Caenorhabditis elegans: one gene and its partners. The protein of the gene in region 2 interacts with the protein of the main gene of each other region in a pairwise test. Each region holds a gene or a part of one and is shown on either strand. Other genes may lie near its edges. The genes, in order: ZC434.8, F33D11.10 and unc-116.

What was found.
Region 1: the proteins of F33D11.10 (region 2) and ZC434.8 interact in a two-hybrid assay, tested with the Caenorhabditis elegans proteins (one large-scale study listed by BioGRID).
Region 3: the proteins of F33D11.10 (region 2) and unc-116 interact in a two-hybrid assay, tested with the Caenorhabditis elegans proteins (one large-scale study listed by BioGRID).

The regions. Positions count from the first base shown.
Region 1 is NC_003279.8:10,347,511-10,351,213, reverse strand, and holds ZC434.8 (putative arginine kinase ZC434.8), read left to right. Parts: upstream 1-1,844; 5' UTR 1,845-1,894; coding exon 1,895-1,933; intron 1,934-1,982; coding exon 1,983-2,270; intron 2,271-2,315; coding exon 2,316-2,918; intron 2,919-2,962; coding exon 2,963-3,115; 3' UTR 3,116-3,159; downstream 3,160-3,703. Other genes in the region: coa-6 (PRORP domain-containing protein), read right to left, coding at 3,260-3,575, 3,637-3,703.
Region 2 is NC_003279.8:5,866,020-5,869,882, reverse strand, and holds F33D11.10 (RNA helicase), read left to right. Parts: upstream 1-1,743; 5' UTR 1,744-1,753; coding exon 1,754-2,089; intron 2,090-2,137; coding exon 2,138-2,809; intron 2,810-2,928; coding exon 2,929-3,120; 3' UTR 3,121-3,321; downstream 3,322-3,863. Other genes in the region: vpr-1 (Major sperm protein), read left to right, coding at 1-110, 269-554, 646-793, 880-1,008.
Region 3 is NC_003281.10:8,350,641-8,357,190, forward strand, and holds unc-116 (Kinesin heavy chain), read right to left. Parts: upstream 4,535-6,550; 5' UTR 4,456-4,534; coding exon 4,417-4,455; intron 4,370-4,416; coding exon 4,274-4,369; intron 4,101-4,273; coding exon 3,939-4,100; intron 3,706-3,938; coding exon 3,408-3,705; intron 3,360-3,407; coding exon 3,130-3,359; intron 3,083-3,129; coding exon 1,757-3,082; intron 1,707-1,756; coding exon 1,415-1,706; intron 1,172-1,414; coding exon 1,167-1,171; 3' UTR 524-1,166; downstream 1-523. Other genes in the region: R05D3.6 (Putative ATP synthase subunit epsilon, mitochondrial), read right to left, coding at 85-165; Putative RNA-binding protein R05D3.8, read right to left, coding at 6,347-6,526. UniProt on the Caenorhabditis elegans protein: Microtubule-dependent motor protein required for organelle transport. Plays a role in endosome transport. Required for the transport of mitochondria along the axon of motor neurons. Involved in the nuclear migration of hyp7 hypodermal precursor cells.

The DNA of each region.
Region 1 (3,703 bases), 4.5 Mb from region 2:
TTCTTCTTTGGTTTTTTCGTTTTCCCGCGTGTGTTGGCAAACTGGATCTGATAGATGCCGCCTGATGACGACTATGAGTGGAAAATGAGGGACAAAAAGATAAGAAAGGGAAAGAATACGGATAACGGAAAAATGGGAGACTGGAAAAAAGGAGAAGTTATTGGGTTAAGGAGAAGGATAGTATCCTAAAGAAGAGAAAGTCCGGGGAAATGATGGAAGAAATTGTGAATGTGTGAAATGATAAGAAAAAGTGACAGGTTTCAACCGTTCCAAACACTTTTCTATAGTCTTCTGGAAGAACTGGATTACGGTAAGTTACGTAATTTGAACATTAAGCAGTGTTTCTAGAGGAAAGTAGGCTATTTTAAACTCATGGAAAGGGCTTTTCAAAATACAAAAGCCAGGGCTAGAAAAATTTTTAAATACGCGCGCAAAATAAATTTCTACCAATAAACGTTTTTAGCGCGTCGCTGATTGGTTGGCACCCTTCTCCATTAAACAATTTAATTCTGAAACCGTTTGTAGTTAATATTAGACACATGAAGATAAGTTGCTATGAAGATAAACCCCGGACCACTTTGAATATTCCAAAACATAAGAATGTGTGAGAAAACTCTCTTGATTGCCCACGGGGCATTTCGTTTAGTGGGTGTGGTTCCCTTGTTTCTTCTAAATAATTTATGCAGTCCTTTATAATGTTTTCCTTTGAAAAAACTTTCATACATCATTTCCCAATTGGGCAATTCTCGGAAATCTCGCAACTGAAAAAACCAAATAGAAGAATAAAGTGCTAGATTTTAATCTGAAGAAACAGATTACGTAGGATGGCTTGGTAAAGAAGGTGTGGGAATAAAAATTGATTGGAAGAAAATATTGTTTTAAAAATAGTTTGAAAATTCAAGATAATAAAAAGAAACGCACCTATACCAAAAAGCTTTTGACAAAATTCAAGATGTGGGCGGGTCTAATTTTGGAACGTCACGGATTAGACATTTGGGGATATTTTTTATATAAACTTTGAAAAGTTGCTGTGTAATTTTTTAATTTATGAAAAACACATAAGTATACCAACAAAAAATCTGAAGTAGCCCTATCCAGCGCCAGTGCCAGTGGGAAAATTTCTGTAATACACGCATATGGTACTACAATTGTAGTACCATTGTATACAATGACCGAGTATTTTTTTTTTAATTCAACAATTTTTTCTTAATTGCATATGATCTATTAAAAATTGATCTCAGAAAAATATCAGTTTTTGACAATTAAATTGAACCTGCCGCCAAACTGTTTGTTCGATAGAGCGCGCTTGCATTATTTTCATTTCATCATTTATTTACTTTTTCTCTCATTATTTCTTTGAATTTTTCATTTTTTGTATATTCTTTTCTGAAAATAAAAGAAAAAAGCAGGTTAAATGCAAATTGATCATTAAAAGTTAACTGAAAACGCGTGCAAGTGTAAAATTATACGTTCCGGTGACGACGAATCTGAAAGTAGTTTGTTTTACAGTTTACCGTTTTTTTTATTGAAAATTGCATTTAACTTGTTTTTTTTTCTTTTTTCTTCCGAACATTTAATTAAGAAAAAACTGAGATTTTATCGACTTTCAAAAAATTGTATCATAGGCGTGCTTTAAACCAATTTCCCCACTGGCGCTATAGCGGGCTATACCCCAAAAATATGTTTAATTATGAATACGTGAAGTTTTTTTTTAAGAACTCCGATGTAATTTGAACTTTCAAAATACATTTTCACTGTATTATATAGAATGTCACGGTCCCACGTTCTGCCACATTATCGTCTGTATAAAAGGGCTTCGTTTCCAAAAATCATCAGTCTAACAGCTTCAGCTCTTCAAAGAACGAACCGCCTGTTACACGTTTCATCATCGAATATGACAGCGACCCCGGAAGTTCAGAAATCGATTGAAGAAGTGAGTTTTCTTAAGTTTTCAAGTTCTTAACGTTTGTTTTTGTTTCCAGGTCTACACGAAACTCCAAGGAGCTTCTGACTGCTCGTCACTTCTCAAGAAGCACTTGACAAAGGACGTTGTCGCCAAGAACAAGTCGAAGAAGACCCGTCTCGGAGCAACTCTTTTGGATGTCATTCAGTCGGGCGGAGAGAACCTCGATTCGGGAGTCGGAATCTATGCTCCAGACGCGGAGAGCTACACCTTGTTCGCGGATCTTTTCAATCCTGTGATCGAAGAGTACCACAATGGATTCAAGGCAACCGACACTCAACCAGCAATGGATTTGGGAGAGAAAAATGTAATTACTTTTTAATTGTTTTTAATTCTATTTTGTACATTTTAGGTTGGAGAACTTGCCGATCTCGACCCAGAGGGCAAATTCATTGTGTCGACACGTATCCGCTGCGGACGTTCTCTGCAAGGATACCCATTCAATCCATGTCTCTCTGAGACCAACTACAAGATGATGGAAACCCGTATGAAGGAGATCTTCAACAGCATCACCGATCCCGAGCTCAAGGGAACGTACTACCCTCTGACTGGAATGGATGAGGAGACGAAGAAGAAGCTCATTGCTGATCACTTCCTCTTCAAAGAAGGTGATCGCTTCTTGAAGGCTGCCAATGCCAACCGTTATTGGCCAAACGGACGTGGAATCTTCCACAATGAGAAGAAGACTTTCTTGGTTTGGGTCAACGAGGAGGATCACTTGCGTATCATCTCTATGCAAAATGGAGGAAATGTTGGTGAAGTTCTCGCCAGACTCATCAAAGGACTGAACCTCGTCGCTGCCAAGGCTCCATTCGCTCGTCATCCACGTCTCGGATGGCTCACCTTCTGTCCAACCAACTTGGGAACAACTGTTCGTGCATCGGTTCACATTAAGCTGCCAAAGATCTCGGCAAAGGACGATTTCAAGAAGATTTGCAGTGACATGAAGCTTCAGGTATTTTTAAAGTTTTATTTCAGTTTTCAAATTATAATTTTCAGATTCGTGGAATTCATGGAGAACATTCGGAATCGAAGGAAGGAATCTATGACATCTCGAACAAGCAGCGTCTTGGGCTTACCGAGTATCAAGCAGTTCGTCAGATGTACGATGGATTGAAGAAGTTGATTGAATTGGAGAAGGCCGCCGCCTAAGAAGATCACTTTCAATTTCTGATTTGGAATAAATTTTAGTAGATAGTTTTATATTCTTTTCAAAGTCAAAAAAAATTAAATCGAGGATCATGAATAGTGTGTTTATTACATGACAAAAACAATACACAATTAGAAACACGTATATCAACTATTTCTAAAAACTTCAACTTTATAACGTTTAATGTTTCTCGACAGCTTTCCTTCTGAGTTCATAACGGGCAGTATCCATATTCTATTATCCGGATTACGAATTCGAATATTGAAATTCCGTCTCGTCTCGATTCGGCCATGGAAGTGTCGATGTGATGCATCAGTGAGAAAATCGTCGAAAATTTTCTCCAACTTTTGATCACCATTACAGATTGCTGAACGATGATCAGTATATTTATCATTTGTAACAATTGACGTCTCCGGACCGAATTCTAGAGCCATTCGAATTATTATGAGGTCATCTGTGGACCTGAAAAAATTGATTTTCAAAAATGGAACTAAAACCAAAAGCCAGATCTTTGAAAACTCACAATTTATCACAAAACAGAGCATTTCCATTATATCTTTCCATCACTTCTTTCCGTAGTTTTTGGTTTG
Region 2 (3,863 bases):
CAGTGATGTTGTCACATCACACATGACTCTCAAGAACACATCAACCAATCCAGTGTGCTTCAAAGTGAAAACAACGGCTCCAAAGCAATATTGTGTTCGTCCAAATTCTGGTGAGTGATGGATTTATTTGCATTGAAATCAATTTGATATGGAAAAAGTGAAATTAAACGCAAAAAGAAAAATATGATTTGTATTTAGACCTTATCTGTTAGACTGGTTGATTTTTAAAACTGAAGTTTACTTTGACCTTCTGATTTTGATTTTTTAGGCCTCCTGAAATCTGGTGACTCGAAACAAATCACAGTAATGCTTCAACCTCTGGAAGGAATTCCATCTGATGCAGGACGACATAAGTTTATGGTTCAATCGTGTGTGGCGCCTTCGGAAGATCTGCCAGATTTGGAATCGGTCTGGAAAATAATCGATCCAGCGGAGCTGACCTACAGCAAGCTTATGGTCACCTTCGTTGACAAGAGAGATCCAGCGTCTGGAGATGATACAAAAACCTTTGCGGTTAGGAACGAGGATAGTTTTGCTTCTTCTGGACAGGCACAGTGAGTTTTTACTTATAATGGAGGTTAAAAGAAGGTTAACAATTATTGTTTCCTTCATAAACTTCATTCAATAAAAAACTAATATTTGCAGAGAGCTCGGAAGTTCGTACTCTGGAACACCATCGCATGATGGAACCGTTAACTCCCTTCGCAAATCGTTGAAATCGACAGTTGACGAGAAAGAAGAATTGCAAAAGAAAGTACATGGATTGGAACAAGAAATCGAAGTCATGCTCAAGGTAATATCAGAAAAGAAATTTGAAAAAATTAATTACACTTTGGAAAAAAAAATATGTGTTCAATTTTCTACAAAAAATATTTTCAGAAGAACCGCAAGCTTCAACAATCGCATTCTGATGGAGCTCTTGTCGACGGTGCATACCCAACATTGCAAATTTTCCTTATTGCGGTTGCCGCTTTGCTCATCGGGCTTATTGTTGGCCGTCTTTTCTAAATTCTGAATCAATTCTTCCTTCATTTTCACTTTTAAGTAACTAGTGGTACTATCATTCACGTGCTTTTTTGCTGCCACAAACATTAAAACACACAAGCATTGCTCCATTCGGATTTTCATCAAATTTAACCTTCAAATCCTAAATTTTCTAACTTTTTCTCTGCCAAGGGCGAAATTCTGAATATTTCAAAAATCAAAATGTTATTTTCTGCAATGTAAATTGACATATTTAACTTTTCGGTTTTTTGAAATTTTGAATACTTGCCTCTTTAGTGAACGCAGCGCGCAAAAATTTCAAACTTTTTCTCAAACTACTTTCACTTCTTTCCTTTGTTTATTCGTTTTCCGTTTTTCCCGGCGTCTTCTAGACCATCATAGATCCGTCTAGTGACTGCCTATCATCATACCCGGTAGCCATTATCAAGAATTTTATTTATTTATTTTCCATTCTATGGTTCCCCGTTCCCCCAACCTTTTCTCATTTATTTTATGTGTACAACCATTGATTGATATAGGACTCCATGGATTTTAAGAAAGCCCCATGCTCTTTGAAACAACCAATTTAAGTCACATGATTTGTATATGGTACAATAAAATTTGATGTTTATGGTTTCCAATAACTATTTTTATTTTTGAATTTTTTCGCCGTATTATCTCGGAGTATTTACCTGGAAATTTACGCGACTCGACAATAAAATGTCACTCGAGTGATGTTTAAAATTAATCTTTTTTCAGATTTTCCAAAATGGCTGGTAAAAAAGCAGAAAAAGATGATATGGCAACAGTGGAATTCGAATCTTCTGAAGAAGTAAATGTTATTCCAACATTTGACAAAATGGGTTTGCGAGAAGACCTTCTTCGTGGAATTTATGCCTATGGATTCGAAAAACCATCGGCTATTCAACAAAGAGCAGTTCCAGCAATTCTTAAAGCACGTGACGTCATTGCTCAAGCTCAATCTGGAACCGGAAAGACTGCGACTTTTTCAATTTCCGTTCTTCAATCATTGGATACACAAGTTCGAGAGACACAAGCACTTATTCTTTCTCCAACCAGAGAATTGGCTGTCCAGATTCAAAAAGTATGGATATAATAAATACAGAGTTGCAATAAAAAACACATTTTGCAGGTAGTTCTTGCTCTCGGAGACTATATGAATGTTCAATGTCATGCCTGTATCGGAGGAACAAATCTCGGAGAAGACATTCGCAAATTGGATTACGGTCAACACGTGGTTTCTGGTACTCCAGGACGAGTATTTGATATGATTCGCCGTCGTAATCTTCGTACCCGAGCGATCAAGCTTCTGGTTCTTGACGAAGCCGATGAAATGCTGAATAAAGGTTTCAAGGAGCAGTTGTACGATATCTACCGATATCTTCCACCTGGAGCACAAGTCGTACTTCTGTCAGCCACACTGCCTCATGAAATTCTAGAGATGACCAGTAAATTCATGACAGATCCTATCAGAATTCTTGTGAAACGTGATGAACTGACACTTGAAGGAATCAAGCAATTCTTCGTTGCAGTTGACAGAGAAGAATGGAAGTTCGACACTCTTATTGATCTTTATGATACTCTTACCATCACACAGGCTGTACTATTCTGTAATACCCGTAGAAAGGTTGATTGGTTGACGGATAAAATGAAGGAAGCCAACTTCACAGTGTCATCAATGCACGGAGATATGGAACAGAAGGATCGTGATGAAGTTATGAAAGAGTTCAGAGCAGGAACAACGAGAGTGCTCATTTCAACTGATGTTTGGGCGAGAGGATTAGATGTTCCACAAGTCTCGTTGGTAAGATTTTTTTTTAGTTTCTTCTCGATTTGTAATAAATTAAAATGATTAGTTTTGCAAAAAACCAGCAAAAAAAAGTTGTCATGAAATATAGACAATTCAGTAAAAACTTTTTTCAGGTTATCAACTATGATCTTCCAAACAATCGTGAATTATACATTCATCGTATTGGTCGTTCTGGACGTTTCGGACGCAAGGGAGTCGCCATCAACTTTGTGAAGCAAGATGATGTCAGAATTCTGCGAGACATTGAGCAATACTATTCGACACAAATCGACGAAATGCCCATGAATATTGCGGATATCATTTGAAGAAAGATATATTTTCGCTCACCTCATGTTTTAATTTATTTTGTTTTTGTTTTCTTTGTTTTGAAAATCCTTATCAATTATTTCTTTTATTTTAATCCTACAAAGATCTCCTTTGAATCCTTCATGATACTAAGACCCAAATACTATCCAACGGAGATTTTTAAAAATCTGAACAGTAATTTGAATAAATGGAGATCTTAATTTTCTTTTCAATATTTTTATGTAAGCCAGTAGAAACTTCTCTAATATTCAAAAATATCGGAAAATAACCAATTTCTAATTTTCGGCGTGATATTCACGTGAATTTATACTAACAAAAAAAACATTTCAGAAAAAAATCAACTCTACGAAGGCTTCACGTGGAATATCATTGCATTGTGGGTTTTTAAATATTAAATTTTTCTTTTATTATTTTATGTTTGATTTTTAGGAAGTTTCAGCCTCTTTAAATTGAGAATTACTTACTCAGAGACCACTCGCTTTTTGAACACACGATTGGTATTCTAAATTCCTATCTGAAACGGAAATTTTTGAATTCAGACGATGCATCATTTTCCTCTATCTTAGACACAAAAACTCAAATACAACAACCCGCCGTCTCGTAGCTTTTGCCTTTCTCGTCAACTAAAAACCGAACGCACTCGTCTTGTCTCCCACTCTATCGTCATCAAAACGGAGTAAGAAAAGTAACAAGAGACTGTGTTGAACAATGAGACTCAGACGGTCAGACAAGACATTCGCCG
Region 3 (6,550 bases), on a different chromosome or scaffold from region 2:
GAAAAATGATAAACAGAAAATTAACGGAACGGGTTACTGTACCACTTAAAGGGGCATATATTGTTATTTAAGGGTCCAACAAACCTTGGTGCACTGACGAACGACTTGTGCGGCGATTTGTGAATAACGGACGTAGTTGAGTCCAGCAGCTCTCCAGGCGACCATTTTTGATTTTGGGGGAAAGTTATTTAACCTTAATTTATACTATAAAATAATAAAATTTTCAGAAAAAGGAAGTAAATTGAAAGGTATGGAGAACAACCTTTAGACTAGAGAAATCTGTAAAATAAAAAATAAAAACTTTATACAGTCAAAGTTCAACAGGAAACTTGATAATATTCGAAAGTTACTGAATAATAATTAGTTGGTCCAAAATGGAAACAAAACTATCAATAAATATTTAATTACATTAAACTTATTTCTCATAGTTTTCAATGATATTCTCACTCCAGAACACTAATCAGTTAAGCTCATGCGTTTGTTGGTTATTCTTGCTCGTATGTTATTGTAAAATCTTGTTTAAAAAACAGCAAAACGTTTATTTAATAACAGAAAAAATAATAATTTTATTTACTGGAAGAGCAAAAGATACAAAAAAATGAATTACGCAATTGGGATGTGCGGGGATTTGGGGGCCGAATTGTGCAGAAACGAAACAAGTTGATTTCTTATGAAGAATGATAGGGGGATTTAGCAAGCAAGCTTTAAAGACACTCAAACGCATGCAAAAAACAATCATAGGAGTGTTGGTGGGTGACGGGGGGAAGAACCAGACAAAACCTCGTGTCAGATTAGTAAAACTGAAACAGGAAAATCGTATAGAAACAGACTATTAGAACAAAAAGGCGGAAAAAGGCAATTTGGGTGGGGGTGGAGGGAAGCTTTAAATACTTTTAGCTTTTGAAGTTTTGTATTCTACATGGAAGACGAGAAGCCAAGGAACGAAATGGGGAGACACAACCAACCAAATGAAGATATTTTTGTTGAAACTTCCAGAAGCCGCGTAATTGTATAAGTTACTAGATTTTAAAATAAACAGAAAAGCCCATCGAAAGTATATCACAAAGCCGGGAAAAGAAGAGAGATAGAGAAGCATTTGAATGTCAGTCTTCAGTGTATTGATTGGATCAAAGAAGACGATGAGTTGATGTTGTTGTTGGGAGACATTATGCTGAAAAACTTTGATTAGTGAAAAATGGACGGACAAAAGACTGTTAAATTTGATAATACGGTAGGAAGAAAAAGAAACACTCACTCTAATTCTAATTCATAGTATAATTACTTGTGAAAAATTACATGAGCACTAAAGAATTTTTAAAAAAATCTTAAATTTCTGCAATCAACTGTGAAATAGTCATTTTTGATGGTATCTGATTGCGAGATGTTGAAGGTGTAGATGTCTGACTAAACACACCGTTTGAGCCATTTGGAGCTCCTTGTGACATTCCTGCTGACGGAGACGTATACACTTGTCCTGGACGGATTGGCTTCACAATTTGTGGAGCATTCATTCGTCGCATGTTACGTTGTCGAACAGCTTCCTTGATTCGTTCAACTTCTTGTTGATACTTCTTTCGTTCTGCTTGACTACGTTGCTTCGAATCACGAAGAGCAGTTTCTAATATTTTGATGCGATCTTCACGACCACGAAGACGAGCTTCCATCTTTGGCAGTTCAACGCGCAAATCGGCATTGTCGCGAACAAGCTGAAAATTCAAGTTTTAAGATAATCAAAATGAGAATAAAAACGACAAACCTGCTTGTGAACCTTCGTCAACTTGTCCAAATTGTTCTCCAAGAACTGAATTCGTTGCTTTTGAGCTGGTCCACTGAGAGAATCTTCTCCCTCGGTGTCTTGATTGGCTTGGCATCGAGCAACAAGTACTCTCATGAACTCCTTTTTCAAATTCTTCAACGTTGTAAGCTCCATATTGACACGATCTGTTAGTGGCTTGATCTCCTTTGCCGCCTGATCCTTCACCAGCAATTGTTTCATTCTACCCGCGTCTTGACCAGATTCAACACGAGCAACATCAGCTGCAAGTTTCGCTTCAGCATCATGCTCGGCAGCTGTACTGCTCTCTTTCGCAGCAGAGTATTCTGAGAAGAGTTTTGAAACTCCGATTCTGACATGGTTCAGAAGATCGTGATCAGGAAGTTGATCATTTTGAGAGGCAATGTCAGCAATGTTGAATTCACGAATAACATTGTAGATTCCTTCTTTGAAATGACGGATTTTTGGACCACATTCGTCAAGATGAGCATTGAGGAGTGATGTTGCTTGGTTCATTCGATCTTCCAAACTCTGGTTATCTTCTTGAACAACTTCCAACTCTCTCTTCAATTTTTCGCATTCTGCTTGTCGAACATCCAAGTTGACAGCAATCTCTTCCAGAGCTGTCATCATTTCCTTTCCTTCTTGCTGCTTGTCTTCAGCTTCTTTTTGGAATCGGTTGTTCTCTTCACGGATCAGCTCCTCGTTTTCACGCATAGTTCCCAAAGCTTCTTCTTGGAGAAGAACTTGTTGTCTAAGCTTCTCAAGCTCTTGCGAAACTTTTTGAATCTCATCATCTTTCTCGTCGAGTTGCTGATACAGTTTGACACGTTCCTCTTCGTACTTCTTCTTCTCTTCGTCAGTGATCGGGCCAGTTGTAGAAGTTAGCATTGGAGGAGCTGGAGCAATCGAACGTTCCATGAGTGGAGTCGACCCACCAGAAACTTCCGACACAGCCATTTGAGCAGAATCTGATAGATTGACCCATTCAACCTCAGACACTGATTCTCCAGCACGCCAGCGTGAAAGTTCCAAAGCCGCTGCCTGGAGAAGGGCGGCCAATCGAGTATTCTTCTCTTTTTCTTTCTCATATCGCCGTTTCCATTCTTCTGCTGTGAGCTCTTCGTTGATTTGTACAACATTCTTGATAGTCTTCGCACGTGCTCCGAACAAAAGTGTGGATTTAGTTTCAGCTTCGTTGAAATGTGACGGAGAAGCACAAATAATAACTGTAGTACGGGAATTTCCTCCTAGAGATTCTTGAAGAATACGAGTCAGTTTGGAATCACGATATGGAACATGAGATTTCTGAAATAAATATTCGTTTTAAGAAGGTCATAATTTAAACAACTCACAGTTCCTTCAGCCAATGCTGAAATAACTATTCCGAGTGCAGTAAGTGACTTGTTGATGTTTTTGGCTTCTTCTAAAACTGTTCCTTGAGCTCCAGTTTTGCTCACTTTCTCAGAACCAGCCAAATCAACAAGATAAAGCTTTCCGGTGAGCTGTTTCTTTGTTGTCTGATGTTCTTGTTTCACAGTAATCAAGAAGACGGAATGAGATCGAGAAGAATGTTCGTTCATGTCTGAAATTTCGTTCACATGTTAATTTGTTTAATTTTAAGTTTACTCACTCGTAACTGCAACCATTCTGTTGGATTTTCCATCTTCGATTGCCTGAAGAACCTCATCGGGTCCTCCAACAAACCGTTCGGTGGCTCCCTTCACGTATGGCACTCGATTTTTATCTTCATGAATGGACAAATTGACCTTCTCGGGGTCTAATAAATCTCGAATCTTCTCGTTGTAAATTTCATAATAGGACACTTTGATGTGAAATTGAAGATTCTCGTCCATACTATAAATGTGGTTAAAGATGTCAGCAACGATACGTGGAATGATTCCCGACAAGCCATTATCACCGATTACTCCCTGTAAAAAATATGAAAATAATTAAATTATATTGTTAATTTCATCGAGCGCCGAATATTTTAAACGTAAAAATTATCAAAAATCTTTCGGGCATTCGATTTCGGAAATAACTGCTGAAAATTAGTTCTCAAACTTTTCTTTTCATTAATCAGTAAAGATTTGCACTGTTGATATTACAACTTGATTGTCTTTGTCGCATTCTACGTAATTATCAAGGTTTTCATAATTCCTACCTCCATTGTATGTGTTTTTCCGGAAGATGTTTGTCCATATGCAAAAACTGTTCCATTATAACCGGATAATACATCCTGTACGATGTGATAAGCGGCTCCTTTGTACACTTGCTCTTGCGTGGTGTTCGGCTTGAACACTTTATCGAACACGTATACTTTTCCCTGAAAAATTCCAACAAATCAATCGATATATATATATATATTCAACTTTGCACTTTTCGTGTACTTTTCAAACAGATGAATGTGTCATGTGAGAGAATTGACACACCTGCATCCCCCGTGCTTCCCGTCCCTGTTGACATAATTGTTCCCTATGACCCCTTTGTATTACTCACCCCAAGCGATATACTGTCCTCGGAAGGGAATTTGGGCAGGAAACGGTCCGCATTCTTCTCCTCGGTCTTATTGAGCGGCCGAATACGACAAAATACCTGAAAACAATATGAAATTGGAAAATCTAGGCGGGGAAAATTAATACCTGGACACCGCATTCTGCTCCGTCTGTCCGCGGCTCCATTTTCAGAGAATAATGATCACCAGTTGGCGGTTTGTAACGGCGCCTATCGTATTAATTACCCGGCTTCTCCTTACAATGCCTGCAATAAGTATAATCAATATGCTGAGTAGAGAACAAGAAAAGATGACGAGATGCAAGAGAAATAGAGAAAGGAGGAAACGGCAAAACATTGCGAAATTTCGGAATATTTCATCACTCGTCTCGTGCGCGATGCACAGAAGCTGCGAGTTTTGTTTGATTGGGCGGCTTTGACAAAAAATAAACTAAAGGCTCATAGATTATGGATAGACAACGGAATGATAACAAAATAACAAAAACTGCAACGTTTGTACTGAATATTCAAAATTTTCACACAGAAAATAGAGAAATAGAAAAAGACTGGCGTCGATCAAACGTGGCACACACAAATTTCACAAATTTATGCATTTTTGGTTAAATTGTTCGAAAAATGAGTTCGGAAAATGTTTTATAATTGAAATAATAGCTTCAAAACAACAGGAAACTTCTGGAAACAATAAAAGTTTTTCCCGCGCGGAAAAATGTTTTAGTTGGCAATTTGTCGTGAAATCTTGGGTTTTTCGAATTACGTACGTTTGCCTATCGTATTTTCGGTCAGATTAATTTTTAATTTCAGTTTTCTTTTTTTTTTCAGCAATGCTTATTTAATTACTTATTTATATTTGACATTTTATGTATATGCGCGAGAATTAAAAATTAAAAACAACTTGCAAAATCTCGTACATTTTCAAAATTTTATACTATAAAATTAACACCATCCAGCAGTGCTCAGTAAACCCGTTCATAATATACCCAGATTTAAACCAAATTAAAACCGTACAAGCCTATATTGTGAATTTATCTGCACAAATTTGGTTTGGATCTACACAAAATCGATTTGGAAATACACAAACCTACACAAATTCAGTTTACATCTACTCAAACTTGCAATCTATGCAAATTAAGTTTGGATCTAGACAATCTTGGTTTACATCTGCCCAAAATTAGAATTTTTCATAATATAGGCTTGTACGGTTTTAATTTGGTTTAAATCTGGGTATATTCTGAACGGGTTTACTGAGTGACAAGAAAGACAAAGTGAAACTGAAATCGCAAATCCAAAAACTAACATTTCTCCACGATACTTGTCTCTTAACTTTTCGGAATGAATATTAGCTTCAATATTATGCAATAACATATGGATAAATGCGGTTTTAAATAAATTTCATAGATAAATACACAAACTAAACAAGATGAGGATATCCGAGGGCAAATAAGGAGACTCAAACCAAATATGGTCATCAAATTGACAATGAGTAATGGCCAATACGACACGATACGGCAGATGGTGAAGGAAGGCGGGGGAGACCGATTCGGATGCGAAAAAGAACGATAAGAGAGAAAAGACACTGCAGGTGGGAGTATTGTGTTCAGTAGATTTTCGTGGTGGGACCTAGAGGATGGTCGGTGCAAAAGCTTCATTGAAAAAGAGTGAAACGAGAGGAGAGACACACTCACAACATTCATTCGTTTGGCGGGAAAAGAGACGAGGGAAGACTTTAGTATTGGGTGGTAGAAAGAGTTGGAGAAAGAAATTCGAAGGGATACAAGGAATGTATTGGCATCGTGAAGAGACACAGAGATACATCCGTGGTTCCCTGTGTTCTCTTCATTTTGTATAATGTTTTATTCTCGGTCAGAGGGACAACGGACGGCCTCTTCAAACACTCACAGAACATTCGCTCACTGCGCTCACTAGTAGAGAATAAAGGAAGTTACGAGAGAATGAAACTTCGAAGATAAATCAATTTTATTTTTTAAAATCAATGTTCGTAAACTTCGAATTAAGTGAAACCGTAATTTGAGATATATGAGTTTTGTTTGATCATCACAGCTACCATTTTCTCGGTCCATAGCCACATTGAGACAATGGATCTGATTCTGGTGGTTGATGATATAGTGGTGCATATCCTGCTGCTGCAGATGGATCATAGTGATTTGATGAAGCAGATGATGAGGCATGTACAGAAGTTACGGGACGTGACGGCGTTAGATAAGCAGTGTGATTTGGAGGCTGAAAATGTAATGCAATATTTTA